Linked DNA regions of Danio rerio. The protein of the gene in region 6 binds, or shares a complex with, the protein of the main gene of each other region. Links are inferred from orthologs where the notes say so. Each region holds a gene or a part of one and is shown on either strand. Other genes may lie near its edges. The genes, in order: mybl2b, rbl1, lin52, lin9, tfdp1a and lin54.

The links.
Region 1: lin54 (region 6) and mybl2b share a complex: the UniProt entries of both Homo sapiens proteins name them as parts of the DREAM complex. The link is inferred for Danio rerio from reciprocal best matches to the Homo sapiens genes LIN54 and MYBL2.
Region 2: lin54 (region 6) and rbl1 share a complex: the UniProt entries of both Homo sapiens proteins name them as parts of the DREAM complex. The link is inferred for Danio rerio from reciprocal best matches to the Homo sapiens genes LIN54 and RBL1.
Region 3: lin54 (region 6) and lin52 share a complex: the UniProt entries of both Homo sapiens proteins name them as parts of the DREAM complex. The link is inferred for Danio rerio from reciprocal best matches to the Homo sapiens genes LIN54 and LIN52.
Region 4: lin54 (region 6) and lin9 share a complex: the UniProt entries of both Homo sapiens proteins name them as parts of the DREAM complex. The link is inferred for Danio rerio from reciprocal best matches to the Homo sapiens genes LIN54 and LIN9.
Region 5: lin54 (region 6) and tfdp1a share a complex: the UniProt entries of both Homo sapiens proteins name them as parts of the DREAM complex. The link is inferred for Danio rerio from reciprocal best matches to the Homo sapiens genes LIN54 and TFDP1.

The regions. Positions count from the first base shown.
Region 1 is NC_133186.1:1,639,437-1,644,403, forward strand, and holds part of mybl2b (v-myb avian myeloblastosis viral oncogene homolog-like 2b), read left to right. Parts: intron 1-631; coding exon 632-817; intron 818-2,409; coding exon 2,410-2,682; exon of another isoform or gene 2,683-3,103; intron 3,104-3,164; exon of another isoform or gene 3,165-4,450; intron 4,451-4,967. UniProt on the Homo sapiens protein: Transcription factor involved in the regulation of cell survival, proliferation, and differentiation. Transactivates the expression of the CLU gene.
Region 2 is NC_133181.1:54,212,251-54,217,217, reverse strand, and holds part of rbl1 (retinoblastoma-like protein 1), read left to right. Parts: coding exon 1-14; intron 15-273; coding exon 274-419; intron 420-2,286; coding exon 2,287-2,351; intron 2,352-2,441; coding exon 2,442-2,628; intron 2,629-4,048; coding exon 4,049-4,215; intron 4,216-4,579; coding exon 4,580-4,692; intron 4,693-4,778; coding exon 4,779-4,882; intron 4,883-4,967. UniProt on the Homo sapiens protein: Key regulator of entry into cell division. Directly involved in heterochromatin formation by maintaining overall chromatin structure and, in particular, that of constitutive heterochromatin by stabilizing histone methylation.
Region 3 is NC_133192.1:33,275,686-33,281,228, reverse strand, and holds the start of lin52 (protein lin-52 homolog), read left to right. Parts: upstream 1-1,988; 5' UTR 1,989-2,000; coding exon 2,001-2,019; intron 2,020-2,607; coding exon 2,608-2,682; intron 2,683-2,841; coding exon 2,842-2,879; intron 2,880-2,955; coding exon 2,956-3,022; intron 3,023-3,949; coding exon 3,950-4,033; intron 4,034-5,543. Other genes in the region: pomt2 (protein O-mannosyl-transferase 2), read left to right, coding at 1-58.
Region 4 is NC_133195.1:46,994,588-47,000,280, forward strand, and holds the start of lin9 (protein lin-9 homolog), read left to right. Parts: upstream 1-1,963; 5' UTR 1,964-2,001; coding exon 2,002-2,032; intron 2,033-4,720; coding exon 4,721-4,753; intron 4,754-4,847; coding exon 4,848-4,939; intron 4,940-5,693. UniProt on the Homo sapiens protein: Acts as a tumor suppressor. Inhibits DNA synthesis. Its ability to inhibit oncogenic transformation is mediated through its association with RB1. Plays a role in the expression of genes required for the G1/S transition.
Region 5 is NC_133184.1:36,652,772-36,657,738, reverse strand, and holds part of tfdp1a (transcription factor Dp-1a), read right to left. Parts: exon of another isoform or gene 4,454-4,967; coding exon of another isoform or gene 4,324-4,453; intron 3,173-4,323; coding exon 3,007-3,172; intron 2,861-3,006; coding exon 2,714-2,860; intron 2,592-2,713; coding exon 2,523-2,591; intron 2,447-2,522; coding exon 2,295-2,446; intron 716-2,294; coding exon 549-715; intron 446-548; coding exon 364-445; intron 1-363. Other genes in the region: mettl21cb (S-adenosylmethionine-dependent methyltransferase domain-containing protein), read left to right, coding at 4,324-4,453. UniProt on the Homo sapiens protein: Can stimulate E2F-dependent transcription.
Region 6 is NC_133185.1:12,007,785-12,013,241, forward strand, and holds the start of lin54 (protein lin-54 homolog), read right to left. Parts: upstream 3,858-5,457; 5' UTR 3,599-3,857; exon of another isoform or gene 2,007-3,598; intron 1-2,006. UniProt on the Homo sapiens protein: Component of the DREAM complex, a multiprotein complex that can both act as a transcription activator or repressor depending on the context. In G0 phase, the complex binds to more than 800 promoters and is required for repression of E2F target genes.

The DNA.
Region 1 (4,967 bases), on a different chromosome or scaffold from region 6:
AGATCCTACCTAGTTCAGTCAGGTTGGATGGTAAACGTTGGTGGTAGTTTTTTTAGGTTTCTCCAGAGATGCTCAATTGGGTTTAAGTCAGGGTTCTGGCTGGGCCATTTAAGAATGTGTTTTTCTGTCAGTATGGGGTGCTGTGTGTACAATAATCAGGGAAGAAGTGAAATAAAAGGGAAATAAGAAACATTTAAGGGGGTCTGAATACTTTCTGTACCCACTTTATGTTACTTGTCAAATAAAAGTCGTTGAATATTGATTAGGGAAAATTAAATGGCATCATTGAAGGTGATCATATTGTGTTTTTTTTTTATAATATATATTTTTTTTATCTTGTATCTCTTAAAATGTTGGAAAGTTAAATGGATCCAATCCTTGTTTAGTAAAACTACAGTAATCAACAGACAAGAATGGGTGGTGTTCAATAATTTTAGGCTATTTTTCTTCAACTTTTTAATCTAATTCAAATGTCGACTCCTATACTTTAGTGCTGTATGTAATTGACAGATATTGGCATCAGAACTGGAGGGACATTTATTTTCTTTTATTAAATCTGTATTGGTATCAGCCCAAATATTTTACTTTTGGTTCATCCTAAATCGATTTATATACCCTCATTTGTTGACAGGAACCTGAAGAGAAAGCCACTGCTCCTCCACAAAAAGCGTCATCTCCCAAAACCCCCAAAGCTTCAACGAGCCCCAAAAGTGAAGGCGGAGACTCCAACGTGTCCACGTGGGTGATGGACAGCTCTGGGTTTCTGTCTCCGTCAGCGGCTCCCACACTGAAGGAGGTGATGGAGCTGATGGACGGGGTGAGTCAAGCCTGATTTAGATCAGAAAATCACTATTAGAATTACAGCCGGTTGCAAAATGTGCATGTAATGTAGTCACAATAAGTAATATCAAATGATTGTGATGGGTGATGTTATGAAGCCACGTATTCGTATTTCTCAGTGACCGAAGTCGTCATAGTTGGTAAACTCAGAGCACAGTTAATGGGAGAGTACAACAAATCATTATTTTACAATTCTATTTGCTGAATTACTGAAATAAAAACTCCACGATGGTGTTATCAAGACGTTCAGAAAGAGGAAAACAATAGTGTGAGACTGATAACGGCAGCCAGAAGAGAGAATCATGTTGAATGTTGTTACTGTCCTGCCGCTATAGATTCTGCATTACCCCTACTGCTCATGCGAGGGATGCGTGTCACGATTTCGATTTTTAATTGAAATTTATGCTCAATTTCGATTATCGAATCAAAAAATAGAATCGTCGATGCTGCCACGCCCCCATGTCACATCAGATTGGCTTGCCAAGCGGGAAAAAAACAGGCTTGTTGAAGAGCTTGTTGAACTGCAGATACAGGAGACCCGTCGACAGAGCTTAAACCCTCTCCTCTTTCAATGAAGTCGCCGGTGTTTAAGCATTTTGGATTTCCAGTGAGTTATGTTGACAACGTTCGTGTTGTCAACAAAAAAAACACAGTTTTGCAAGCTCTGCTATGTACGTATTACGTACGGTTCGTCCGATAGACAACACCGGCATCGCGATCCTCCGCCCGCCCCCGTTGCAAATCCGCTGGCGAAAAGTTCACACTCAGGCCCTGTTTACACTGGCTTTGTTTTTAAATGGCATTTTAGAACAACAACGATTTGACATCCACAGTGGCGTGTAGCATTTCTGAGCAGCCCTCCTTCCTCTCTACCTCTGAAAATGCACATCACGTGACCACACAGACGCACACGCAGCCATGCGCTCGAGACTGCAGGTCCAGGCAGTCAGAGGACTGCTTCAATCTTTCACTCACTTGTACTCAGTCATTTTAGCGAACACCTCAGATACTGTTGGCTGGTTCCTGTTGGTTGTGCGTCTTTTTTACCGACGCCATTATAACGACACAGATCACTGCCTATTCACGAGTCCCGCAGAAAAAGTGATTGACAGGTGGTAATTATGTGTGTATCTTGCCTTTATTCATTTACTGTATGATTTGTTTATGGGTAAAACAAAGACCATGCAGGTCAGGTAGTTTAAACGGTAGGCTACCAATAATTAATTGGTCATTAATTAATTATTCATAATCGAAAATCGAATCGAATCGTGACTTTAGAATCGAAAATGTAATCGAATCGAATATTTGGAGGATCGTGACACCCTTAATGAGCTGTAATTCGTTTTTTGCAATTGAATACAAAGATGATACTATACATATAAATGTTCCCGTTTAAAAAAAAAAAAGTAAAAACTTTCAAGGATTTAGGATGCCGATGAGCGTCTTGTGAAAAGGGTCTAATGCAAGTGCACACACTGCAAAATCGATGCGTAAATGATATATTGTGCAGCCCTACTTCATGGGACTATTAAGTGTGTGTTGGACTGATCAGAGTGTGTGTGTGCGCAGGATCTGGAGGGCTGGTGTACCATGTCGGACTTCGACCTGCCGGAGGAGAGCCAGAGCTCGGAGCTGCTGCAGTTTCGTCTGGAGGGCAGTGCACTGCAGGAGCTCAGCAAGGGCAGTAAAGGAGAGCTGATCCCCATCTCGCCCGGCGGAGCCACTCCTCCATCCATCCTGAGTCGCCGCAGCCGTCGACGCATCGCCCTCTCGCCAGACCCCAATGACTCTATGACCCCAAAGAGCACGCCGGTCAAGATCCTGCCCTTTTCCCCCTCACAGGTGGGAAAACGCAACACAACACTAGCCATGTTTCCATCCAAAGATGCAAATTAAATGTATGCGCAAAACTGGAGTATGGCATAAAAGATTTAAGAATAAAGCAGCGTTTCCATCCAACGAGTCTAAGATAACAAAATCATCACTTCCTCATAAACTGCCGCCAAATATCAAAAGAAAAACAGAAGTTACAGTGTTGGGCTTTTTTTTCAGGGTTCCCACTGGTCCTTAATAAGTCTTAAAATGTCTTAAATTAAAATCCGGGAAATTAAGGTCTTAAATTGTCTTAAATTTTACCGTAAAGTGGCTGTAGATATTAAACTTTCAGCCGGTGTGCTTAATGACAATAGGGAAGCACAGTGGTCCACGGTAAAACATCTAATAGTTGATTAATTCAGCACTTGTAAAACTACAAAGTATAGACGCTTGCGTTGGTCTGCACCTGCGTGCTGTTATTATGCAGTTGTTGATGTGTCAATGCAAAGATGGGAAATTGTACATTTAACAACGTGGCAAAGAGGCAATGTGTAAATTCTGCAAAAAGACTTTTTCGTTAGGGACCATGGGGCTCAAAGTCGTCGAGTTGCACATGAAAGGAGGAAAGCAGCAGCGGGACGTTGCAGCAGCTAGTCATAGCAGGTCCAGGTTAATCCCTGCATTGTTTGCAGCTCGACCTAACAAAGTTACTAGTTACTAATGTTAGGCCTATAGCCAATGTTATGAATAAGTAATGTTAACCCATATAAACGACTCATTCATGAAAAAAGACAAAAGAGCTGTGTGCCTGTGCACATTTGGATAATGTCGGACTCCAAACAGGTTTGGGCTTTTAAAAGCTGTCAATCAAAATGTACCTGTGGGGTTCGGGCTCTATCGGGCCTAACTTTTATATCATGATTACAGCTCTAGTTCAGACGCCCCTTCACAGTCAGCTATAACAGTTTTATTTCACCACCAGACACCCAAAAGGCTGGTACTGCGGGTTATCCATACTGTGACGAGGCACAATTTATTTAAATCTAACGAGAACATTAAAATGAGTAGCTTATTCCAAAGAGATTATACAATTTTTGGGTCTTATATTATATTTGTTGAGGTCTTTAAAAATGTCTTAAAAAGCATTAAATTGTACTTTTAAAATAGTGCAAGAACCCTGTTTTTGTATATAATAATTTACTTCCGTCTTAGAACACGTAGACGAAACCCACTGAGCGCAGTAATGTTATCTTGCTTTTGGAGGCAGGATATCATCTTCAGATATCATCTCTATCATCACTGCTTTTTCGTATTTAACATTTAAAACCTTTCAGAGCTCATCATCCACCTAAACATACATGCCACTTTCCGCCATTTTTATCATCACATGATCTGTTGAAACAAAATCACATGAATTTTTTTTGTGTGCTGGAATTTATTCGTTTCCATTGTAGTTAATGCAGATTTTTTTATATCAGATAAAGTTTATCCTTCTCGGTTGTGTGCAGAATCTTTTTATGCAATGTATGCACATCTTGGCTTTTTCATTCAGTTTTTTTTTTGCGATTAATCCAAAGAGTGCATTAAAAATAGGTGGATGGACACACAGTGGCGCCCCCTGAGAAACTTTTCTTAGGGGTGGCCAAGTAAGACCACACCAAATCTTGGGATGGCTCACAAAAAAAAAAAATAATGAGTTGTGTATGTACTGTGAATGAGTAATGTTATATTTTTGTTTCTGGTAAATTAAATAATGAAGTTTTAATTAATTCCATTAAATACTCTTGTAACATTGTAATTTATTCCTTGAAATAATTCAGCAAGTACACGAGCAAACCAAATAATTATCAATATTTAGTTTAAAGACACCTTTCAGGCAAGTTATTTTTTACATGCTTTTATTGCACAACATACAGTATATGCCATGTCTAAAATTAATGGATATTAATGAAATAATTAATAAAACAAACCAGCAAAATAATGGAGCTGCTAAATAAACTAAATATTTATTTAATTAACTAAATAAACAATTTTTTTATTTAATTTCTGGTTTTCAATCGGATAAAACAAATGCATTTCAATAATAATCATTTCTTAATAAAAAGTGTGCAATATCAGTGAATCAGCTACGCTGATCAATCCACAATATTTAGTGGCTGCATTTTATTTATTTATTGAAATATTGTGAATTTGCGTACATATATTTTAATTAATAATATCAACAACTAAATCATATTGGGTGGTCAAATATTAATGTTGCATCACTGCTTAATATGGCTGTCAGATCATTGAAACTGTAATCTTTTATTTAT
Region 2 (4,967 bases), on a different chromosome or scaffold from region 6:
TCAGAATTTCAGAGGTAAAGGTCACCTTTTATTCATCTCAGAAAATATGTTTGCTTGACTGATTGAGAAGACAGACAAAATTACAAGTGAATCCATTGATTGCATTAAATATATTTGAGTGTTTTAAAGCATGCCTGTGTTGTTTTGATTTACACTCTTCAGCGATTCTGAATTTAGTGTCTTTCCCTCACCGTAATATTGCATTGTGTTTGCTTTGTGTCTGAAAAAACAGGTAAACACTTCACTGAACATCTGTTTTTCACCTTTCTGTAGGCCTGCCGAAAGACACAGAAAACCTGAAAGAGATGCCCTGTGTCATTGACAAGTTGTGTGAACTGCATGATGGGTTGGTGGTGGAGGCCAAAGGCATAAAGGAGCACTACTTCAAGCCCTACATAAAGACCCTGTTTGAGAAAAGAGTGAGGAATATATACGCACTTTGACACCCAAAACAAAAACAGCACAATTCCATATATGACTGCATGCTTTGTAGAAAAAAAATTTAATTACAGTTTTTCTTTTCAAAATGACGATTTGCGATTACTTCTGTTTCATAAAAGAACTACAGTTTAATGTGGTGGTTTTAGCAGAGCCACAGAAATACTAAACATAATTAAAAAAAAAACTACAGTATCCTAAATTAAATAAATTAAATATAAAATTTTAAACTTTAAAGAATTTAAACAATGTAAACAATTGTACATCATTAAAACACTGGTGATAACTAGGGCCAGACAGAATTTGTTGATGTTTTTTGGCTATTTCTGCTGAGAACTTTGTAAAAAAATTTGTGGATTTATGCAGAATTATTTTGAGAGTATCATAACTAAAAACATTAAAAAAAACATAAAAAAAATAATATATATATTTTTTTTTTCATTTTCAAAGTCCTTTTATTCCTTTTATACAGAGGAATGAACTGCCAACTTATCCGGCATATGTTTTACGCAGCGGATGCCCTTCCAACTGCAACCCATTACTGGGAAACATCCATACACACATACTCTGCGGACAATTTTTATCCCAATTTACCTATAGCGCATGTCTTTGGACTGTGGTGGAAACCGGAGCACCCGGAGGAAACCTACGCGATCAATGGGAGAACATGCAAACTCCACACAGAAACGCCAGCTGACCTAGCTGAGACTCAGCAACCTTCTTTCTGTGAGGTGATCATGCTACCCATAGCGCCATCGTGCAGCCCATATATATATATATATATATATATATATATATATATATATATTTTTTTTTTTTTAATATAATTAATTGAATTATAAATGCGCGGTAAGAGTCGTGCACGTAATATATTCAGATATCATAGCTGATCTGTGATAAATGCCGTTGTGGAAAGTCACTCTACAGACACACTCGTGTCAGGGTTAACAAGTATCCCTTTAATAGCGATAGAGGAAAGGAAATTTATGTACTGTCATCATTGCAAAGATAAAATAAATCAGTTATTGGAAATGAGTTAAAACTTTTTTGTTTTAAAATGTTTTGAAAAAAAATCTCTCCAAAATTTGGTGAAAAATAAATGGGGACTAAAATTTCAGGGGGGCTAATAATTCTAATTTCAGCTCTCTCTCTCTCTATATATATATATATATATATATATATATATATATATATATATATATGTATATGTATATACCTTTTAACTTTTATTTAATGTTTACAATGCAAATCCAATATGATCCACTTATTTGTTAAACAGAAAGTCGCTCATATAGTATACTAAATACACAAAATATAACTTTACAAACTGTTTTGTAACTAAATTATATGAACATTTTCATGTTAGTCAATAATATTAATGAAATGAATGTTTATTTAGTTTTTAAACTTAATTTACTTACATTTACACTATGAATTGACTGAATGATGGGCTAAAAAATCTGCGGAAATCTGCAGATTTCTGCATGTGCAGATTTCGTGTGGACCTAGCGATAACCTACATTACTGTGGACAACCTATATAACAACGACAGCAAATGTTTTTGCCTTTTAAACTGCAAAGAACATGAATTCTAAACCAAAGGGTCAACAAGAAAAGCTGCACTTCTAGATTATGTTACTTTTTTACATTGTTCAGGGTAATGTGCTTACCAACTGTCAGAACTGTCAAAAATTTTATGTTTCTTATTTATTAGTGCATTGAAATAAACACTGCTTTTGGGATTTGAAATTTTTATTTTTTTATATAGTGATTTCGTTTTAGAAATGTCTAATTGTGCAGGCCTAATTCTATATTTATAGCTTTTGTTTTACCTCCTTATATTCCCAGATGTTAAAAGGTGATGTTGAAACTCTGACTGAATTACTGGACACTCCAAATTTCCAAGATAACAAGTACGCACATTCAATTTCTGAACACATTGCTTTTCCATGCAAAACGTTGTATGCAATTAAATGCTTTTGAAAACATTTTTGTCTTTTCAGTAAAGCCATAAATCGTGATTATGAGGAGTTTGTTTTGACTGTGGGGGATTTTGATGAGCGAGTGTTTTTGGGGGCTGATGCAGACGAGGAGATCGGCACACCGCGCAAATCCACCGCTGAACCTCCTTCAGGTCATCTCTCTGCCCGCATGCAGGTGGAGAACAACCTTCAGCAGCACTTTGAGAAGGTATGAAGAAAAGTAGTTAGATTAACAGTCACTGTAATTACAGTATTTATTAGGGGTGTGATGAGATGCTTACTCCAGGAGACAAGATTGGTTTCAAGAGAACAAAACAAGATTTTGGCAGTATTTTAAAGAAATCTTGAATGATAAAATATATGAATGGAAAATAGTCTTTTATTCAACTGAAAAAAAATCACAAAATGCAAAACCATATAGGTGCTTTTTTAAATCAACTTGTAATGAATGTTATTTTAATGACTTCTGTGCAGTAAAGGACATGCCAACACTGCAAAATATGTTGCTAATATTTGAATGGAGAGTAGTCTTTTTATACATGACTATTTAGGTGCTTTTTAAAGGTGCTGTATGTAAGTTTTTGACTTTTCTAAAGCATAAAAATACCATAATATGTTTGCAGGTATTTAAGAAACATGCTAAGTGAACATAATTGTTTATCTGAAAAACAATGAATTCAGATATTCTACTTTAAAATTGTGAGTTACGTGCAGGATTGTCTGTCTTTGTTTTGTTCATTTATCCCGCCCAATGCCAGTTTAGCCAAATATATTTCAGCACCCTGGGTTGCTTTAGCGCAAAACCATGTTTTTCATTCATTTATTTATTCATTCAATCTGGAAGCCTCAATACCCATGACAAGCTCAGAACTACTGGATACAATTATAAATTAAGTACTGATAGGAGAGAGTTGTTTTAAAGTGACTTGATACCGCATGAATGAAAAGATAACTTCTTTTCCCGGACAGTATAAAGCTGTGTTCGCTGATGATGCGACAAGCCTCTAGGAGTTCCCCGTTTGTGTGTGCGCACAGAGATGTGTGTGTCTGGTCCTTTAGTGACTCAGTAGATGGAGGGAATTAATGTTAAAGTTCATTTAAAGTTAGAGAATTTAAAGTTAGAGTTAAACAGCTGTGTATGCATGGCTTATTCTGTTGCAAAATGCAGCTAAAAGTCCTACACGATGGTAATAGTTTAATCAAGGTGTTGACATGTCTGTACTGCACAGCAGTAATGTGACTGAAATAGGAATACTTTACGGCTTAACATGTCAGCTGTAGCCTCTGCTCAGACCGCAACCTTCGATGGAAAAAAAAAAAAAAGGTTACGTCACACCCGCCCAAGCAAATGAGTGACACGCAACATCGAGGCAGCCCTGGTTGCCAGGTGTGTGCAAAGCACTTGAATTGCGGTTCATATCCAAACCTGCCTCCAATCTTCAATGCTAATTTCACCCTCACGCTCCATCATAACATAACTCACGAGACAACTTAACACCTCTACGAGAAATCTTAACGGGATTTAATCTTGTGATACCACGTGATATGGGACCTCATTACACCCCTACTATATATATATATATATATATATATATATATATTTGCATCTTCTTCCTGTTTGTGTGCAGACGCGTTCCCTTGCTCCCTCTACTCCTCTAACGGGTCGACGGTATTTAAAGGAGAAGGAAGTGCTGGTCACGCCTGTTTCTTCAGCCACCCAAAGTGTGAGTCGACTGCAAAGCATGGTGTCTGGTCTCCGAAACGCACCGAGCGACGCTCTGCTTCAGATATTTATGTAAGTGTTTGCTAAAACCAAAACATGCACTTATAGTTTTAGATTTGGTTTTCTTGCATTCCTTTTTTTAAACTTGTTTTTGTGTCAGATGTGGACACAAATGTGTATTATGACACAGGAGACTGTGAATTATGAGGACATTGCTGATGTTTACATTTTTCAAAAGGTTTAGAAATCATACAGAATGAGCTTTTTCAGAAAGTAAAACTGCACATTTTTTTTGTAAAGCGTGGGGTTGGGGAAGTGCCATCTCAAATACAGTTTGTACAGTATAAAAACAATAGAAACCTATGGAATATCCCCACAATTCACAATAATAAACCTTTACGTCTATTTAACCATTCTTCATTTTCTGTTCAAATAGTTCCTGTTCTCGAAACCCCACTGAATCCATTCTGAATCGGGTGAAAACCTTGGGGGAAAAGTTCAAACAGGCCTACACTAATCCCACAGATGACCTGCCGGGAGCACATATGGGTCAGATTTACTGCCGTCTAAAATGATTGGTCATTATGAAAGCATTATGTGTGATCATGTAAATAAGTGCAGGCTCTTGTGTGTAGACTTTGCAGAGAAACGTCTGAAGCTGGCCGAGATCTTGTACTTTAAGATCCTGGAGAATGTAATGACTCAAGAGATGAAGAGATTACAAGGCAAAGACTGGGCAGTAAGTCACATTATTAATATTATATTTGATATATGCTTGATGCATGTGATAAATGTGTTTGTAAATGTAGCTTTTCCACTTCTGC
Region 3 (5,543 bases), on a different chromosome or scaffold from region 6:
ACATGACTCTGCCTCCTCCATGGCCGGCCTCAGGTGGATGGAATCCTGGGAGTTTTAGACAAACGTTTTAAGTGTTTTCATAAAATGTTTTCAAAACTATTTCATTTGTTACATGTTGACATTTCCGTGTTGAAGGACAGCATTTAGTCTGATTTTAGGCTGTTGAAAATTTTTAAATAGTATTTTTGTATTGTATAAAATTACGATATTTTACAGTCATGTATTTTACATAAAAATCTGATGTTGTGCAACTGCTGTAGCTGGACTGAAATAAATTTATTAAAAAAACATTGAAGTGCCTTTCTAGTTTTGAAGATGCTGATGTATAAAGCATTAACCTTTTTGTTTGTATTTAAATCATTTCAGTTTGAGAATGTTTAATAGCATTTCTGTTTTAAAACTGTAATGTAATGAGCAGTCTTTCCTGAAAAGTTCAGTTGAGTTCGTGTTTGAATTGTTGATAAAAAAATTGTTTGCAATATTGTCTTTAAATTATTGTCTTAAATGCAAATTGTAAACAGACTGACTCAGGTGCATTTATTTGGATTTAGGTTGTGTTGCATTTGATACCAACACATTTTCTGGCTCAATTGACTGAAAATATATATGTTTTTCATTAATCACCAACATTGTAAGAGCTCTGTATTTATACTTGAATTTTACTTATTTAATTTTACTAATTATTTTATTTTTCCAAGTATAATAAAGTGACCTTCTGTCTTTTAGAGACATGATCTGTACAGAGGTGTTGATAGTTATTTCTTCAACCAGTTTTACAATACCATCCCTTTTTTAATGTCTTTTAAATGGGCCTTTTCGTATAATGCTATGTACAAAGCATTTGAAAATGGGTTGATCAAAGTAATAATGCTACAGTGAATGAATGATGTTTCTTTAGTGTTTTAAAATAAATAAAATGAACACTCTGTTAAAAATATTGATATGATACGTTAAAATGTGCTGAAACTAGACTTGTTTATGTTTACCAATAATTTTTATTTTTGGTCTATTTATAATTACTGCCTTTTTTGTAGCTGTACAGAAGTTTGTTCTGCTGTGTTTTTTGGCCTGACTGAGTCTTGAGTCTTATATTATATTAACACTATCATAATACTACTCAAGTACTCTGTATGAAAGCTAAACATATTAATGTTCGCATATTATTCATATATATTTTTACTTATTTTGCAAGAAAGAACGTTATCAAAGACACAGTTTAAACAAATAGACAGAAATGAATTCATAATTAAAATTCCAGCAAATTAAACAAGTTTAAATGATTTACACCAAGAAAGTGTTTTACATGCAATATAACTGTTAGGGTCTTTTAAAGAGTTCACATATAAAGTAATTTCTTAAAATAAAAAAGTAGGGTGTTTCTTTGAAAATTTACATTTATCGATGTAAATTTTAGGGGGGGGGAAACAATTAATTACAAATTTACAAGAATTCAGAAAGTATCTAAAGAATATAATTTTTTGTGGGAAATACAAAAGTTTGGAAATAATACAATTTTTGTGAAATTGGAAAAGTCAACCCAAATGACTTTACAATAAGTGCACTCCCAAAATAGGCCAAAAAGATTTAGTGTTTCACCATATTGAGTACAAAATGAGCATTTGAAGGAAATATTGTTATTAAATTTACCTAGTTTGTTGTTTATTGGGTAGCAATTATGAATGATTCTGATTGAGACTTCAACAGCTTTATTAGATAAAAATATGTATTTTTTCCGAATACCATCCAAGATCAATATCAAGAAAAGGCCATTAAAGACCATTAAAGAGATCAGAGAACTGTTAACAATAAAGAGAATCACTTTGTTTGACATAGAACTGAGAAGAGTTTGGTCAACAAAAAGGTTTGTGCTGTCAATAATATTTATATTCATATTTTTCAGTCAATTATTGCGACATCATTTTACAACATAAGAGGGTGTGGCTATTTTATCCAAGACCTCCAGTGATTGGCTGCTTAGAATCACGTGTGTTGTTGTCAAGATGGCGTCTCCGAATGGAGGTAAATTTTAATTCCTCTTTTCCCTGGCAGCGTTAGTTGTTAACGCAATAGTGCAACGGACTAATTAAGTCATATAAATCATTATGCGGTTTAGCATATTTTTTATAAAGAACTGATGGATTCTGAATCAAAATAAGCTTTTCAGTCGGAATAGCGTCATAAAATTGTTTGGAGCCAGTCATTAGCAAAGCTACGTGTCAGACGACATCAGTTGTGTAGTAATAATTTAATACGAATGTAATAGTGTAGTAAATACGCGAAGACATATTACTTTTGGTGTGTCGTGATTTTATCTTTAACGTTAGTTATGTAACTCATTATTTTGTGACAAGATTACTCAATGCAGCTAGCTCAGCTTTGAGTAACTTAGCAGCTGAGTAAACATAATATCTCTGTCATAACATCAGCTTAATTTTACACCTTGAATAATATGTGACAGAAGATTTTTTTTTGTAACGTCATCTAAGCTGAGTTATGTTAAAATTGAAATTGTGTATATTTAACATTTTTTATTGTACTTCAGGTTTATTGATCCTGTTGCTGATGAGTTTTCTCTGACCATAGAGCATTTATCTTTTTAATGTGTAGGTGAGGACTTTGAATCTTCTCTGATAAGTTTAGAAAATCTTGACCGGGCTTCACCTGACCTGTGGCCAGAGCAGTGTAAGTTTGACTCTCTAATCTTATTCAGTTGGACTAATATTTATGACACATTAACATATTTTTCCAAATATATGTAAAAAAAAATGCACTGATTGAAATATAGAAATTACATTTGATTATTACACATTGTCATATTTTTGAACGCTTTGTTTTTAACAGTGCCGGGTGTGTCAGAATTTGCAGCATCCTTTAAAAATGTGAGTAAATATTCAAATGATAATGAATACTTTTCAAAGTTGATGTGAAATTAAGGCTTGGTTTTTGTTATTTCAGCCTATTACAAATTCTCCACCCAAATGGATGGCTGAACTGGAGTCAGAGGATATTGAAATGTTGAAAGGTCTGCCTTTTTTAAAGTAGTATTCATATCAAGTCTTTTAATGTATCATTTAGTCTTTTATCTATGCTTTCTATATATTGCTTAGTAGAATAGGTTAATAATAGTTAGATGAGTTGCTTGGTGAATTCCAGGGTGTCCGCGCGGTCTTAAAAAGTCGTAAAATGTCTTAAACCTCAAAATTACATTTTTATGTCTTAAATTTACTGAAATATTGTGTTGTAGTTCCTAAATGTTAAATTAAATTTTTTTTAAATTAGGTCTTAATTTTCCTTTGTTTATGTATCGCTACGCAGTCTGGCCATTAGTCCTATACGATCACCAACAATTCATCTCAATAAAACCTTTTATATAAAAAGGTGATTTTTAACTCTGTTTACCATAACAGTTTTATTATTTTCCTCAAAATACATAATATTTGTTAAAAAGTGTTCCATGTATTTGCTGCTGAGGACACCGACCTGGACAGATTGTTTTGCATAGATTTAGTTATATTAAAACTTTAAAAACATTAATTCATTTTTTATTGTAAAGAAAGTTTATGTTGGAAAAATAAAGTGTATGTATACAAGTAGAGCTTGTTTGTTTTTAAACAATATTTGAATATTTTTATAAAAAATATCTAAAATATTTATTTTTTTATTATTAAATTATAATTGTATTATTAATATATAATCGTTTTTTGATGGGGCAAATGAAAAATCTTTTCCATCTGGGCCATATGAAAAATTCCTTAGCGATTAGTCCTTTATGAGTCTAAAATTTCATTCATAAGGGTCTTGAAAATGTCTTGAAGTCTTAAATTTAACTTTGTGAAACCTGCAGAAACCCTGGAATTTATAAAAGCTACAGTATAATATTTTGTTTCGGTTCTGGTCCATTTTTATTTTATTTTTTGTAACTTGTTTGTTGTGGCTTTTTTTTTTTTAGAATTAGGAAGTTTGACCACAGCAAATTTGATGGAAAAGGTGAAGGGTCTGCAGAATCTGGCTTACCAGTTGGGCTTGGAGGAGTGTAAGTAATGTCTTACTCAACTCAGAAATAGTGCATTAGTTCACACTGTTTATCTAGTTACGGTATATTGTAAGTCATCCACTAGATGGCGATATTAGAAAAAGAATAAAACTTACTGACAAACACAAACCCAGCTTTTAATACATAAAGACATTTTTCATGTTTTTTGCCGCTGTGATATTTAGGATAGAGTTAAAAAGACAATACAACAAATAATTCATTATATGTAGTCTGGAGCCTAAATCCATCTGAATCCTTGTGTGGAAAAAACACTTATTTGTTATGTTCTATTCGTTTATTTCAGTCTGTAAGTCTCAAATGAATTCCCACTCTATATTTAAACAGAACTGGCTTGTTGCCCAGTGTCTCTGTAATATTATATCACAGAATTGCTAGATGTAGCATTAATCCACGCAGGCAGGATTACAGGAAAGATAAGTGTTTCAGTTATTTTCTAGATGAAAATGGGCATCGAAACATCGCACAATTTGAAAGCGAGTACTGCAGACCATTGGTGAACACTCGTTTCAGATGTATTACATTCCTTCTGCTGATTTGACCTTTGTGTGGCATGTCCCTCAGAAAGCCCTCAACAAACTATGCTTCAATGAGAAAAATCAGTCAAATGCTTTTCTGTCTACTTGATTTTTACTCTACTATTTTGAATAATTTCCATAATGTTACAGAGAGAGGATAAAAAAAGCATCAGTTAATTTAAATAATTCAAAGATATGCATTTATATTGATTTAAAATTAAGCACATGAACCATTTTATTTGATAAAACTCTTACATGCACAACTGTTTCAATAACGTTAGTAGTTTTTAGATTTAGATTCATTCAGATTAACATTTTAATCTCCTCAAGCACTTGTAATATTACTATATTTGTGAATATGAAATTCACAAACTTAATAAAATGTATGATGAAACCGGTATCAATTGAATAATGGTTCTTATCATGGTAAACTGAGATCACATTATTATATTACTTCTCTTATAATTTCTTAGTTGTAAATATTACCTTTTTATTACTCAGCAGATATTTAAGGGACAGTATACGTTACATTTAATTTTTTTAGTTTCATATATGAGTAGCTTGAGTTTCTATATCCATCATGTCATATCTACAGCATTGTATCTGGGTTTAATAAGCCACATTTGGATGAAGCTTCCATGCTGCCTTTTATGCATACATTAATACAGTGTGTAATTATACATTTAGTCTGCTTGCATTTAATATCATTGCAAACCCACTTCAATCAAACTAGGTGTAATAAGTCAATCTAGATGTCTCCACCTCTAGTCATTGTGTCCTCTGCTTGTTGCTTGTTTAAATGCTCTCTAGGAAGGTAACACAATGCAAAATATTTGTTCATCTTAACATGAGTAAGAAAATGAATTTCACACAATGTTAAGCAATTCACAGTGCGTACATATTATACAGTGGGGAAAATAAGTATTGAATCTGTCACCAGAAAGCATATTTCTAAAGGTGTCAATGATGTTGGT
Region 4 (5,693 bases), on a different chromosome or scaffold from region 6:
TGTGGCCACCTTTCTACAAGCAACATGATTGGACTTCTCTGTGAAATGTTTCTTTATAAGCTACCAACAGTGGATAGGTAGACTGTCTTCCATATGTTTCATAGGCCTTTTCTTTCTTTTAATAGTTTTGCTAAACCTGGATTCAGGTTACTTGTAACACATGTAGTGTTTACGGTTTTGTTCGGCCTCTCGATTTAAAACAAATAAGAATGTACAGTTTTAGGAAAAAAATGTTGTAAGCTAGGATATAGCCTGCTGCAAGCGAGTAATCTTTTACTAGAATTGCCAATGTATGAACAAGTATTTTGTATGTTAAACATGTACCAACCTAGTTTTGCTTTTTTGAGTTTACTGTCCCTTATTGAAACGTACTTGGGCCATTTGAAATGGCTATCAAAATCTAAGCTGCTGTACTCACGCACCTGTAATAAGTTTTGTTGTTGTTTTTGGCAAACATTTCTCCACAGTATTTGTGGACAAAATAAGTTTCCCAAAAAATGTCTTTGCATCAAAAATAAAACGGTTTTTGGCTTATTATTGTGCTTGAAGCTGTTTTATTTTCGGGGGGTGGTATTTGATTGCAAAAATGTCCTAATACAACTAAATACAAGTAAATAAAATCATACTAAAAAAATTTAATAAAATCAGGGTTTACCACTTTTGATAAATAAAATTCACTACAATAACCTTTTTTGGTCAAAAAATATAATAAAATATTTTTTTTTAATGTGTTTTTTATTATTAAATATTTATTCCAATCATTCAAAACTGAGGGACAGATGAGTTTTCGCATTGATCCCAGGGGCCAGCCTGATCACCCGCTAGTGACCTACACCTGCAGCTTCTCTGCGATGGACATCCAGCGTTCTCAAGCCCCGGTACCTAGCATGCAGCTCTGCACAAGAAGTTTGGCCAGAGGAGAAATAGTCATGCTCAACTGAGCCTGGTTTCTCTCAAGATTATTTTCCTTCACTTTCATCAATTGGTGAAGTTTGGTTTCTCGCCACTGGCTTGCTTGATTTGGGACTTGCGGAGATATGGATCAATGGATTTGCTCTTTAGTGTTTGGACTTTCAGCAGTGAAAAATTTAACCACACTGAGCTGAACTGAACTTCTACTCTGAAAACTGGACTGACACATTTTTAATTCACTAGAACTTCTACATTAAGCTGCTTTGATACAATGCACATCATAAAAGTGCTATAGAAATAAACAAGTTTTCAGCATTAGCATACTTCTGTGTTCGAAGTCACATGATTTTCCTTAAACTATTGTAATTCTGCTAATTTGAATTGAGATTATTTTTTCATAATATTGATGACATTTGAACTGTATGGTATTTTGTGGAATCTTGTGTATTTCAGGATCCCTTGATGAATGGGAATGTCAAAAGAACAGCATTTAGTTTAACTCAGATGACTCAATTTTGTTGAACAAACGTTGATGGGAAAATAAAATGTTAATAATATACTAATTTGTAGTGAAATGTGTACAAACACATGCTAAATGAACATGATTATTATATAATACTTGTTTTAAAATGTTAAATGCAGTACAATTAGTTTGTCATTCTGCAACTTGGCGTTTGTTTAATAAAATTGTAGTTAGTGTAAATATGTAATGCATCTAAAATATTTAATACATAAATATACAGTTTACACCTTGTTTATGTTCTTTTTGTTTGTTTGTTGGTGATCCTGAGATCCTTTAACGGGCCCTGTGTCTCATAGGAGTCACTGAACCACAGCTGAAGCCTGGTCCCGACGACATCTTTTAACTTGTTTTGTACGGCTTGGAACTACAAGAAACTTTCTCAAATGAATCTAATTTACCTCATGGGTCGTAATTTGTTTTTAAGAATCATATTTATGTACAGCAAACACATTTAATGTAAAATGTTTTGTTAGTTAGCGAGCGCTGTGGTGTGTTTGAACTGCCCTCTCTGTCCCACAATGCATCTCGGCACTCGGCCTTTGAAAAACCGGCGCGGCTAATTCAAGATGGCGGAGCTCGAGCAGCTGTTAGACGAGAGTGAGTAATAAAACTAACTCCTCGCTAAACCTTGAAAAATCCCCCTCTGAGTGTTTGTGCGGTTTAAAACGTTTCATAAGGCGTGCTATTCGCCGTACATTTCACGTGTCTTTCATTGTTTTGACTGGTGTTAAAATAGACGCAAAGTTATTAGCGCTGAGGCTAACAAGCTAACAGTTAGCTTTCAAAGCCTACTACTATAAATAAATATCGCACCTGAAGAGTTTTTCGCCTTAAAGTTTCGTTATGGTGCTTTGTTTATAATCAAAATTAATTTAATTACTGGTTTGCGGTTTCGCAGTGGTTATACTATGAAAAGGGTTTAACTTTTATACATTTACAGGGTCGTAACTCGATGACAGCTGCTGGGTTTTGTTGTTCTTGTCAGTGTCAGTTTATTTGTGTACTAAAACACTGTCCGTATGATAAACACATACTTTTAATATGCTGAAACACTCTTCAGGTGTGAAAATGCGCTCTTTGTATGATGCAGTACTTGTGTCTGGATAATTCTCATTCATCACAATAATTCACAGTGATTTTTTTCTTTCGGTCTTACCGAAAGCTTTGTTTTGATTGTATTAATAGGGATAATTGCGTAATCCGTCGTCTGTTATCTTGCTTGATAATTATTACTTTTAATATTTGAGCAGCTTATAATTGCAGAAAGATTATTATTTATTTCTAGCTTTGCTTTATTTAAAGTATCAAAACAATAAAAACATATTACAGCTTTTTTCACTGAACAATAAAACGTCCTGCTAAATTTTAAGCATAAAAAAGGCTATCATACATTTTTACAAGGATTATCAGAAGTAAACCACTAAAATCTTATTGGTGTAACAATAGTTTATCTCATCAGGCTTAGATCAAGAATCATATGATGTCATTATTCAAGAACAATTTAAGAATGGCTGTGCAGCTCTTTTAAATACTAATTTTCATTTTAAATCTTTATATTTTTAGTTTTATTTTATTTCAAACCACATTGTTTGATCAACAGAAGGTTCAAAACATTCTACAATGAAATGAAATTAAGTTTAATAGCACATCATTTTATGAGTACAGGTCAGAATGTTGTGTTAAATTTAATAAAATGTAAAAAGGGCATTAATAAAAAAGGGCATTATTTCCAGCTGCAACCCATCACTGGGAAGCACCCATACACACTCATTCACACACATACACTACGAACAATTCAAGGTCACCCAATTCACCTATAGCGCATGTCTTCGGAGTTGTAGGGTAAAACGGAGCACCCGGAGGAAACCCACGCGAACACTGGGAGAACATGCAAACTCCACACAGAAATGCCAACTGATCCAGCCAAGGCTCGAACCAGCAACCTTTTTGCTGTGAGGCCTATTTTTCATTTTAAATCTTTATATTGTAACTTTTTAATTTCAAACCACATTTTTTTTGTCAACAGAAAGTTTAAAATAATCTAAAATTAAATGAAATTAAGTTTGATAGCACATAATTTTATAAGTACCGGTCAGAATGTAGTATGATATTTAATTAGAACTTAAAAATGCCTCTTAAAGTAGACCATTATTTCAACCATATTTTGATATTTTATTACTTAAGTTATTTAAAGCATTAAAGTCAATGCTTTTCTTCTATTTATATAAGTCAGTTAGGGTTGTTTTATTTTTACAATAAGTAGTGTTGTAAAAACTGACAGTCGTATTCTTTTTTTAAATCTTCTTTTAGTAGAATTTTTCTTACAGTAGTCAAAGTCAGCTTTGTTGTCAATTCAACCACATGTACAGGACATATAGAGAATTAATATTGCGTTACTCTCAGACCCCTGGTGCCTAACATATAATATTTATACAAAAAGTATAATTTTAGAAAGAAAATACAATAAATACAATTGCTCATTTAAAATCTGAAAATATAAGTAAAAATAAAAATTTGTAAACAACACAATTACACTTAAGGGCACATGAGTTGTGCAGATGCAAAACAGTATACTGTGCAAAAAGTATGTATAATAAAAAACATAATAATACAATACAAGATGTTTTTATAAAGCAATTTAAAAACAACCAATGTTGTCAAAAGTGCTGTATATAGGATTACTAAAGACAGAGATGAGAATAAAGTGGAAATTGAAACAATTAATAAATAAAAGCAATAAAAAGCATCAAGGAGTATTAAAAAATATAGATAGGAGCAATTGCAAATGCTTGATCACCTCGTTTTGTTAAAGCATGTTTATGAAGTTGATCATCTAACATCACTAAGTTAAAAATAAAAACATTTCAAGCTTTCCTATTTCTGGGTTGCAGCTGAAAGGGCATCCAGTTTGTAAAACATATGCCGGAATAGTTGGCGGTTCATTCCGCTGTGGCGACCCCTGATAAATAAGGGAGTAAACCGAAGGAAAATAAATAAATGAATAAAAGAAGCGTAAATTCTTTTGTTTTTTGTTGTTGTTTTTTTTTAAAGCAACTTTAAATGTAAAACACAAGTGTAACCACCACTTTATATTGCCTTGGGGCTGAACTATTGTAATACCATGCACTAAAACCACCTTTAATCTGCCTGATAATCGGACTTTACTTCAGTGTTGCATTAATTGATTTTCAAGATTTGTTTTTGTTTGGACTTCTTAATCATATGTTGCTTTTGAAACTGTAATGTATTGTAATATATCAAACTCTTTGTTCTCTTCGCCTTCAGGCTCTTCAGCTAAAGCCCTTGTTAGTTTAAGAGGTACGTTTTTGTTTTTAACACTCACAACTTCAGTAATAGACATTATCACAGAATGCCTTCTAACATTTCCCAATGTTATTATGCTCTTCTACAGAAGGAAGCTTGTCTAATACTCTAAATGAGAAGAATAATTTACCGAAATCTCAGACCACAAGGGGACGGAGCAGTTACGTTTCTATGGAAACAGTAAGTTGCTGTAAATTACTTATAATTTTGCTGCAACTCCAGGTTTGCTTGTAGTAGTAGCAGTTTTACATCTAAGATTGTCTTTTGTGCTGTGATTATTTTGTGCTGTGATTACTGTGTTTGTTTACTGCATTTAAATATCAATCAAATTACAGCTGCTTGATTATGGGAAAAAAATCATAATTATTTTGATCATAATTGTAATCACAATTATGTAAAACAATATATATATATATAGTTGAAGTTAGAATTATTAGCCCCCGTGTTTATTTTTTTTCCCCCAATTTCGGTTTAGCGGAGAGATTTTTTCCAACACATTTCTAAACATAATAGTTTTAGTAACTAATTTCTAATAACTGATTTATTTTATCTTTGCCATGATGACAGTAAATAATATTTGACTAGATATTTTTCAAGACACTTCTATACAGCTTAAAGTGACATTTAAAGGCTTAACTAGGCTAATTAGGTTAACTAGGCAGGTTAGGGTAATTAGGCAAGTTATTGTATAACGATAGTTTATTCTGTAGACAGTCAAAAAAAAATTTAGCTTAAAGGGGCAAATAGTTTAGACCTTGGATTGAATTTGGAAATGGATATTCTAGTCGAAATAAAACAAATAAGACTTTCTCCAGAAGAAAAAATATTATCAGACATATTGTGAAAATTCCTTGCTCTGTTAAACATAATTTGGGAAACATTTAAAAACTAATAAAAAGTTTAATGGGGGGGCAAATAATTCAAAGATTTCAAC
Region 5 (4,967 bases), on a different chromosome or scaffold from region 6:
TTTATGTTTATTTTTAACATTTTTTTAAATTTGGTTAGAATATGTTTTCACAATCTGATTCCAGTGACTAATTATTAAAACGACTATAATTAAATTAAATATTCATAAGAATAAACTCAAGTGTTCTTTAAAAGAGAGTACCTTGTATCATGATGCTATTATATTGTCATTTTGGCATTATATAAAGCATAAAATGGTCTTAAAATGACAATAATATCCTTTATCGCAATATATTTTGATGTATTATATCATACAACAAAAAATAGATATGACAGGCCTAATCTAATATGATTAAAATAGCTACTTTTTCTTCTAAATCTATTCCAATACCGAACAACAGAAAAATGTGCAAAAGAAACTCACCCTCCTACATGATAGCGGCCACCTCCATTTGCAGATGAAGCCCCCGTCATGTAGACATTACTGATAGGTCCCTGTGCCATTTCTGCATGTAGAAGTCACCATCAATTGAAACATTTGATTTCTGCTGAAACTAAACTTTTGTATCAGATATAGTATCAACTGATGTGGTGACCAGTGGCTCTCACCTGTGACATAAGGCTCCAGGGCTTTGGGCACCAAGCTCCTAGCAGTCTTCAGGTCTTCAGCAGAGCACTTGCCCACCTCAAGACCACAAGCCATGCCCATGCGCTTCAATACCTCAATGTCATCGTGAATCTCAAACATGCTATCAAAGTTGAAGAGGTACTCAAACCTAACCACAAAAGGAAGCAATGAGTGAAGTGCATGAAGTGAAGATCTTCGAGATTTAATTCATCCCACAAATAAGAATGTGCAATATTTATAATCTACAATCATAATTGTTTTAATCATGAGCTGATGATATAGAAAGTTGCCAACTTGGAAAAAAATATATATATAAAAAAACAAGTCTTCATAAAGTCGGAAAAAATGCTGAATTAAAATTTGCATGGCCCTGTAATCCAAACAACTGTGATATTGCTTGTGTTGGGAAGCAAAAATTGCTTTACATTCTGGAATAGAATACTTAAGGATAGCACTCGACTTCGCTGATTGATTCATATACGCACAATACTTTTTTACTTTGTGATCTGTCAGGACTTAACATGTTAATTTAATCACTAGTATGGAAGCAATAGAGAAAAAAATGAAATAAGCATTTGACTATGGATTCTAATATACATTAAGACAATTTCTTCTTCTATGTATCACAAAACCTATTATGAGCTTTAAAGAGATAGTTCATCCAAAAATATTCTGAAAAAAGTTGTAAACCTGTAACTATTGACACAAAGATATCTTAAGGAATGCGGACATCCTGTAACCACTGATCTTCAGAATATCTTCATATTCATCAGAATATCTTCATATTCAACAGAATAAAGGAGTTTATAAAGGTTTAAAATAAATTAAAGGGTATGAAAACATTAAATAAAATTATTCTTGGGTGAACTAACCCATTAAATACAATTTAAATGTGCAAAAATTAACATTGGCTAGTGAACAGTACCAGCAAACCATTAACCTTTGATCTACATTGAGCTATGCAGCATACAGCAACTGCACCAGTAACACTGCACTAAACTTTATGCACAAGTTTTACTTCTGTCATGCTGCTTATTTGAGTGCATGACAGCTTGAAGTTAATTCATCTCAAACTGGGAATCAGCAAGAATCTGGGCTGAAAGTGATCAAATTCAAATGATCCCCCAAGTCTATATAAAAAAAACTTTTAACATAAATAATTTCATCAATGAATGGGTTACATTTCCGATGACAATATTGTTGTTTTTTATATGCTTTTTATATATGAAATGTAACTATGAATGCTAAAAAGGCATGTTCTAAATAATAATAATTTATGTGGTATGAATAAAGCATAAAAACGAACATTTTATCATGTAATTTGAACTAGAAACATCATTTGTGCTGTTTTTTTTCCATTCATAAATGTTGCCATTCTTGGTATGGTAAAGCTTAAGAACCATGCTTGAGTATCTCCCCACAAGTAGTAGGTCATCAGTATCAGTTTGTGGAGTAATGTGAATTTGGACATATTAAATACAATCTTTTCGCCAACTATAGAGTAGCAAAACATGCAATCTTGAAAACTATACATGCTTTAAACTAATCGTCTGAACAAGTGAGTCAATTATTCACCTACTGAAAGGTTTAGAGTAATTTTCCTTTATACATGGCCAAAAACTATGACAAAAAAAAAACAAAACAAACAAACATCAAGACATATTTTCTCCCCAATATCGCACACCCTTATCCACCTACAATCTACATGGCTTGACTTGAAGTCATACTTGTCATTGGAAATGCTGCAGTCAATGACTGTTTTCTTGCTGGTGTTGACGATAATAAATGGCAGGTGAATGACTGAGTTGGCAGGTGGGGGCCTTTTTGTCTGTTGTTCTCTCTGGCGGTTTCTCTGTACAAGGTTCTTAAAAGCAATTTGCTGCAATTAAAACAGTGTGTTAGTCAAGTTCATCAACATAAAATAATTCTTACAAAACAAAAGACTAATTTCTGACCTGTAATATAAGTTCTTGAAGTTGTGACTGTTTTTGTTTGATTCTCTCCAAACGTCTTTGCCTCTCCACCTTTAAAAATACCAAACATTCAGTTTAAGTACAATTAGTTTAAACTCTAATTGCCTGTACTTTCTCTAACTGTCTTAAAGGAAGGGACATAAACTTTAGTGAAAAAGTACCAGTACACCCACCTCCAGGTTCTGGCACTCCTGAGCAGAGTTTGTGGGCAGACCAATCCATTTGATCTCCTTTTTCTCTTTGGAAATTATGTTCATGGCCATCAGCACATTGAGAGCATCGTACACACGCCGTCGAATGTTCTTCTGGTCATACACATGCTGAAAAAAGCAGAAACCAAAAGCGTTGGTTTATTTATCATGTTATATATGTTAAGAAGCAAGTCTTTAATTGGTTTTAAAAGCTTCACTTCTGCACTCAACGAGAAATGCTCTGAATCAATGTCTGGCCGCAGGGGAAGGCTCACCGCATCATTAGGAGAGATATGATTATCACCAGAGCTGAACTCGGCCACAAGCTCATCAGCAACCTCGTTGTAAGTTGTGACACCCTTCCGCTGGACCTTCTCGCAAACCTTCATGGAAAAATGTCTGAGGCCTTTCCCATTCTTCTCCCCCTTCTTACCCCTTTTTCTGAAGAACAACAGATCCAACAGCAAATTATTGATATTTTTTAATTATAACTGCTGATAGAGAAAAGAGAGCAAAGCAAGAGTTTATTTTAAAAAAAAATCCAAAGTACTTATACAATGTACAAGGTGAAGTAAAAATATTCTGCCTTAAAAAAAATATATGAAAGTATGTCATAACTCGACGACTCCATTAGCAAAATCATTATTAACTTTAGTGGTAATTCACAAAATACAAACTGGCACTAGATCACAAAACCAGTCATAACTGTCAATTATTAACATTAATTATCATTAACATTTTTGAAACCTCACCAGAAAGTTGTCTAAAAATTGCTTTCCATTGATGTTTGGTTTGTTAGGATAGGGCAATATTTCGCTGACATAAAGCTATTTGAAATTATGAAAACCAACAGTTCAAAGAAAATCTAAATACTGTGAAAAATCTTGTCTAAATAATGAGGTCAGCAATGCATATTACTAAACTTAGTTTTGTATTTGATATATTTACAATGAGAAATTTACTAAATTTAAAACACTTACAGCTGTGCGAATAATCGAAATCAAACCACGATTTAGAACGTTGGAATCAACTAAATCGCAACAGGCTGAGATTCATTCAATCATTTTCTTGTCAGCTTAGTCCCTTTATTAATCCGGGGTCGCCACAGCGGAATGAACCGCCAACTTATCCAGCAAGTTTTTACGCAACGGATGCCCTTCCAGCCACAACCCATCTCTGGGAAACATCCACACACACACACTCATACACTACGGACAATTTAGCCTACCCAATTCACCTGTACCGCATGTGTTCGGACTGTGGGGGAAACCGGAGCACCCAGAGGAAACCCACGCGAAGGCAGGGAGAACATGCAAACTCCACACAGAAACGCCAACTGAGCCGAAGTTCGAACCAGCGACCCAGCGACCTTCTTGCTGTGAGGTAACAGCACTAACTACTGCCCCACCGCCTCGAGAGGCTGAGATATGAAATTGAAATTAAATGTATCAATAGAATTTCCCCCACTGTTACGTATTTTCTTAAAAAAATTAAATAATACTATAGAAATAATAATAATATAAATAAATATCCCAAGTAGTGTTTTTTTGTTTGTAATTGTGTGTTTTCTCTCCGCCTCTTTCTCCGAATAGGTTTCATTATTACCGCACAGGTGTTGTGAAGCAGGTGCCAGCATGTGGAGGCCGGCTAGTTGGTGAGGACCATTTAAACCGGACTGGAATGTCGTTCGGAGAGTCTCCTCTCTCTCGCCTTGTGTTGTGAAGTAGAAACTTTGTATTTTACTCGGATAAATAGTTGAAAGTGAATGCTGATTGTTGACTCTGAGATCTATGCGGAGACACGTGTGCTGAGGAGGGTGCCTTTTTGTTTTATTACATTTTCCTCATATTTTGTGGTTAGTAAGGAAGTAAGAGAATGTTATTTTATTTGTCTTATTTCATGTGCAGGTAAGAGGGTTAAAAACTTAGTTAGCTGTTCAGTTTTTTTTTTTGGCATTAACCTCCGCAAGCTTTTTATTGTCTCCTTTTTGAAGTTGAACATCAAATAAATTTGACTATATGTTATTTCCTTGGTCATTTGTCTTTGTTGTTGTTTTTACTTTTGAACTGGAGATGAGACTGCAGGCTCCTAATTAATTTAGAAGAGTTCTAATTATTTTTATTTAATATTATTTATTGTTACGGGTTTGGCTTGCTGTGTGGAGCCAAGCAAGATTGGAATTCGTAACACCCACCCAGAGCAAATGTGTGACTGCTGTCTGTGTGTTACAGTCTTA
Region 6 (5,457 bases):
AGTCTGACATGTTTACTGTTCCAAAATATTATAAAGGTTTCCTAAAATGAAATGTATTGTGTTCAATGGGGGAAAAATAGATGTTGTTTTTCACTAAGACATTTTTTAAAGAAGTTATTTTAGAGCAGTACTAATATTTGATTACAAATACAGTAATATTAAATGTAGTTTTTAAATATATATTCCTAGTTTTTTGTTTTAAAATGCTAAAAAATAATTTATGAGATTTATTGGGCTTTTGAAAAGTAATTTATTTTTTACTCTAGAGTCATTCTCTGAAGACAAAGTTTTTTTTTCCAAAGATGAAAACTTGTGATGCATACTTTTGTTTAATGCAAACAGTTTGTCATACCCTATAAGAAAATATGGCTATTTTATATATTTGTATTTATATGTTTTCTGTATGGCCCAATACAGAAAATCTAACCCAATATCTGTTAGTTTTATTTAAAATATTATTCTATATATCTCATTATAATTATTATTTTACATTTTTTATTTGTATTTTGCCCTAAATATTGTTTTTAATGCAAAAATTTATAATAATATTTTTGATTCAGAGGAAGAAAATGTGAACTAATTTTGTTATCTGTTGATAGACTGGAACAACTGAGGTGCGACTGATTCATTATTTTTGAAACTGTAACTGACTATTATGCATCAATAAAAAAGGAGTTAAACTAAAAAATTGTATATCACTAAAAAGCCTAATTTTTAAACGTTTTAACTAAATACAGAAATATTACATGATTCACATGATTAAAAACATTATTAAAATAATTCTATTTTTACTTTAGTGTGCGCTGTGTATATTAAATACATGCATGCAGCCGTATATTTGAGTTATTGTTTCATGCCTTTACTTGTATGTTAAATGTTTAGAATACAAATGATGTAAACATATATTTTTAAATATTTGATTTGCATATTTTTTTTTTATTTTATGTATGTTTACTATAAATTTTGGATGCGATTACTCAAGAATGATCAATTCCAGATTTAAAATGATCTTTAATGCCGGGAAAATAATATCCAAACATTCTTTATATTATTATTTAACTTTCATTTTGGTTTAAAATACTGTAATGTAAATATACATTTAAAAAGACCTTTAGTTTACTTTTATTTTCTTCTTTCTGTCTTCACAGAAAAATGCATTTCCTTGTTCTGTGGCATTAACTGTGATTATAACAAAATAAATTAAGCATTTTCAACCATTGTGCATCTTAAATCATCAGTGGTGTTTATTTGTCTAACAAACACTGCTTGATTCCATTATTTACAATGTTACCTCAAATAACCACAATCTGAGAATGAATCAATAACATTTACACCCATAGCAACCTCAAAAAAAGTTCAGCACTACTGCAGTTTATGAGATGTAATATTAAACATCACCACTCTGTTTACTGTAAATGTACTACACTTAAAATAGATATTTTGTTAATATTACATATGGAGAATATAACAATAGTCATGCATTTAAACTACATAACTTCTTTTTTGCCCTCTGAATAACAGGTCTCATGATATAATTCACATCAGCATCAATATCACATAACACTAACGTTACTAGTTGGTTAACTAGTCAAGTAGACCACTCAAATTCCTAATATTTAGTAAACACTGCTCAACACGAGCGACGCGACAAGTTGTGTCGCGTCGCATCCAGAGCAGGCGATCTGTTTATGTTCGGCTGCTATGTGGCTAACTAGCACAGCGGCTAACCAGCAGTTAACACACAGTAATACATAAAACAGCCGCAACAACTAACATGAACTAGCCAGAGTTTGCTTCAGAAAACTATCAATCGGTAAACAATGACAGTGGCTGGAAAAAACGTTTCACAAAATAGTGGTTTAAAAACACAACTCAGAAATGCACTTCTATGTATGCGTTTAATCGCTAAACGTTTTACCAGTTTTACACGGGTTTTATACACAGTTAAACAACAATAAGCCTCTTTGTGCATGCCTGAGAATATAAATGTGTGTATAATTATTTACCTCAACAGTTAAAAACAAGCCTGTCAGTTTCACATCTGACGGAGTTTGTTGGTATTCGACGCGTCTGCTTTCCTGTCTATACTGATGCCATTAAAATATTCATGTGTACGCGTATATTCAAGAGTTTTTGCAGATAGGGATGTTTGTCTCCAGAACGGAGTCCTGTTAAAAGGAGTTAAGCGGGCTGCGTGTCTATTTCAGGCCGGGCTTGGATTTCGAAAGATCCGCCATTTTCATCTCGTCATCAGTTCAGACATAACAGAAACAGTCGCAGGACAAGAGGAAAAAACAACAGGATTTGTTGTTTTGTCAGAGTTTGAGCTTAAAGAATGAGTTAGAAGTACAAAGGACCGTCACTGTATTCGTTTTGAGACTTAGAAATATTAATTGTTAATTTTCGTTCAAAACCCTCATAGGTTTTTCTTCACTGGAACAACATAGCATGATGGTAATCTGAATGACATCCTTGCCATTCACTCTCAATGCATATTTTTCTATTCCGTGAAAAATGACGTCATTCTTTGTAGAAGAAGAAAAGTCAGTCATGCAGGTTTTGAACAAGGGTAAAACTCATTACAATGTTCTCTTTATCTTAACGCATGCTATTATTACACTTTATATATCCTAAAGTGTACAATTACATCTATGTACACTCAAACAATTTAGTGAGAGGTGTGGTCCACAAAAGTATTTTATTTGTTAATGCTAAAGAGCAATAACTTGCATTATTTAGCGTTTATTAGCCTTAGATAATAGTCGTTTGCTTATTTAATTAGTAATGATACAGTTGGACTGATGATTACTGATGATACTAGTTCAGTTCCATTAGATGACATTTGCATTAAGGTAAAGTTGGTTTTATATTCACACATTCAGACTTTCATAAAGTTATTTTCTGCAAATTCCAAATAGTTTAACCATATTAGCAGACGATGGCTATCAGAATACAACAATGTCCACAGTCAAATAAACTAATGCTAATGTTAACGTAGTCATATTTATACGTGTACGAATATAAAACCCAACTTAACCTTGATACTTACTAATACATGTTCAAATGCAAAAGTCGTATTTGTTGACGTTACGTTAACAAAGATAAAGAAATTGCTCAAAAATATTTTGTTATCTAATATTGACAAATAAAACATTTGGCAACCGTTAAGTGTTACCAAATACATCTTAATTCATACAAAACGTATGATCTGAACTATGTAATTCCTGATGTTTTAATTAATGATACAAATAGATGTACTATTACACGCATACAAGAAATGAAAACCTCTCTATATTTACAGACATTTAATAATTTTGCTAAGCAACAGCTCTCCGCAAGACTAAAATGACAGGCGCAGCTTGCTGTCATTCTCTGGCAGGTAAAGCCTAGGGTGCTAATCAGTTAGCCACTATTAACTCCTGCAACGCATCAGCCCTTTATAAAGCTTCATATGAGTTTTGTCTATGTTGCAGAAGATGAGCAATTATTAGCAGCGATTATTCGCGAGCGCAGCTGTGTGTGTGACGCGCGGTTGAGGCAGTTCGCGGACGGACATCAGCTGACGCGCACATACACACTCACACATATATATACATACAGTGTTAGCAGCTCTGCTAACTAGCGGAGATCATATTGCCCCTCGCTGAACACCCACCCGAGCCCAAAGCACTCCTACACGGGGTCGAGATGAGTGTCGAGACGCTCTTCTGAAATCCACAACGTTTTCTGCTCGATCACGACCTGCTCGGTCCAACTCGGGGCTGCATCCTGTCGATCATCCGCTCTCAGACGAAGACGATTGTTTAAAATACCGCGCCGAGCGCCATTTCACCTCTAACATCCCATAATCAAACCACGCCTTCGTAGGAAACAACACATGACGTCACAACACAACTTCCGCGCAGATTTTTTACTGTTGTATTCTTAATATTTCATATACACAAATGCAAATTTACAAACCAGAAACTCTTCTTTTATATTTTTCCTACTGAAATGCAACATTATTTTAAGACTAATTCTAATTCTGTGACAAAAATGACGTTAAAACAACTGAAGTTTTTAAATTGTTTATTATTATCCCAGTAGTGCTTTATGAATGTAGCTCCTTTGTATATTATTGTTTTGCTTCTAACTTTATTCTTTGTATGTACCATGACTGTAATTTTTGCATTGCGCATAATTAAAAATATATATTTTTACTGATGTTCATAATTGTTATTTTTCCTGTTTATCTAAATCGTTATCTGAATTGCACAATTTTCTTAGTTATTTAAATGAATTATTTGTACATTACAAAATGTTTACAACAACAAAAGTTTACAAATTTGGGAATTGTAAGAGAACACTCTTCAAGTGTCTTTAAAGTGTTTATATTAATAATTTTAATACATATTACAATTAATTAATTTTAGAATTTTGCGTCTAAAATTAGTTTTCTAATTAACTAATTCATTTGAATTTTCATTATTCAACTCTTCAATAAAAAAGCAAAAGAATGGATTTTTACTTGGAATATTATGATAATTATTTTAGAACTGACCCAGCCGAGGCTCAAACCAGCAACTTTCTTGCTGTAAGGCGATTTTGCTACCCACTGCGCCACATATCTATTTATATATTTTTATATATTATATTATATTATATTATATTATATTATATTATATTATATTATATTATATTATATTATATTATTGTAAATTTTCTATTACACTAAAACCTGAACCACACTGTTCCAGTTACTATGACCATTTATGTGAAGCTGCTTTGACACAATCTACATTGTAAAAGCGCTATACAAATAAAGCTGAATTGAATTGAATTGAATTCATTTATTTTTTATTATTCATTCACGTTTTATTAATCTAAGGTGGCCACAGCGGAATGAATCGCCAACTTATCCAGCATATGTTTTACGCAGCAGATGCTCTTTAGCCGCAACCCAACACTGGGAAACACCCACACACTCTTGCAGTCACACCCATACACCACGACCAATTCACCCACAGAACGTATTTGGACTGTGGGGGAAACTGGAGCACCCGAAAAAAAACCCACGCCAACACGGAGAGAACATGTAAACTCCACACAAAAAATGTCAACTGACCCAGCCAAGGCTCGAACCAGCAACCTACTTGCTGTAAGGCTATTGTGCTGTCAACTGTGCCCCCGTGACACCTTTATATTATATTATATTATATTATATTATATTATATTATATTATATTATATTATATTATATTATATTATATTATATTATATTATATTATATTATATTACATATGTGTGGCTATAGTGTATGAGTGTGAACGAGTGTGTTTAGATATTTGCCAGAACTGGGTTGCAGCTGACAGGGCATCAGCTGTGTAAAACATATGCTTGGTAAGTTGGCAGTTCATTCCGCTGTGGCAACTCCTGATGAATGAAGGGACTAAGCCGAAAAAAAATTAATGAATTAATT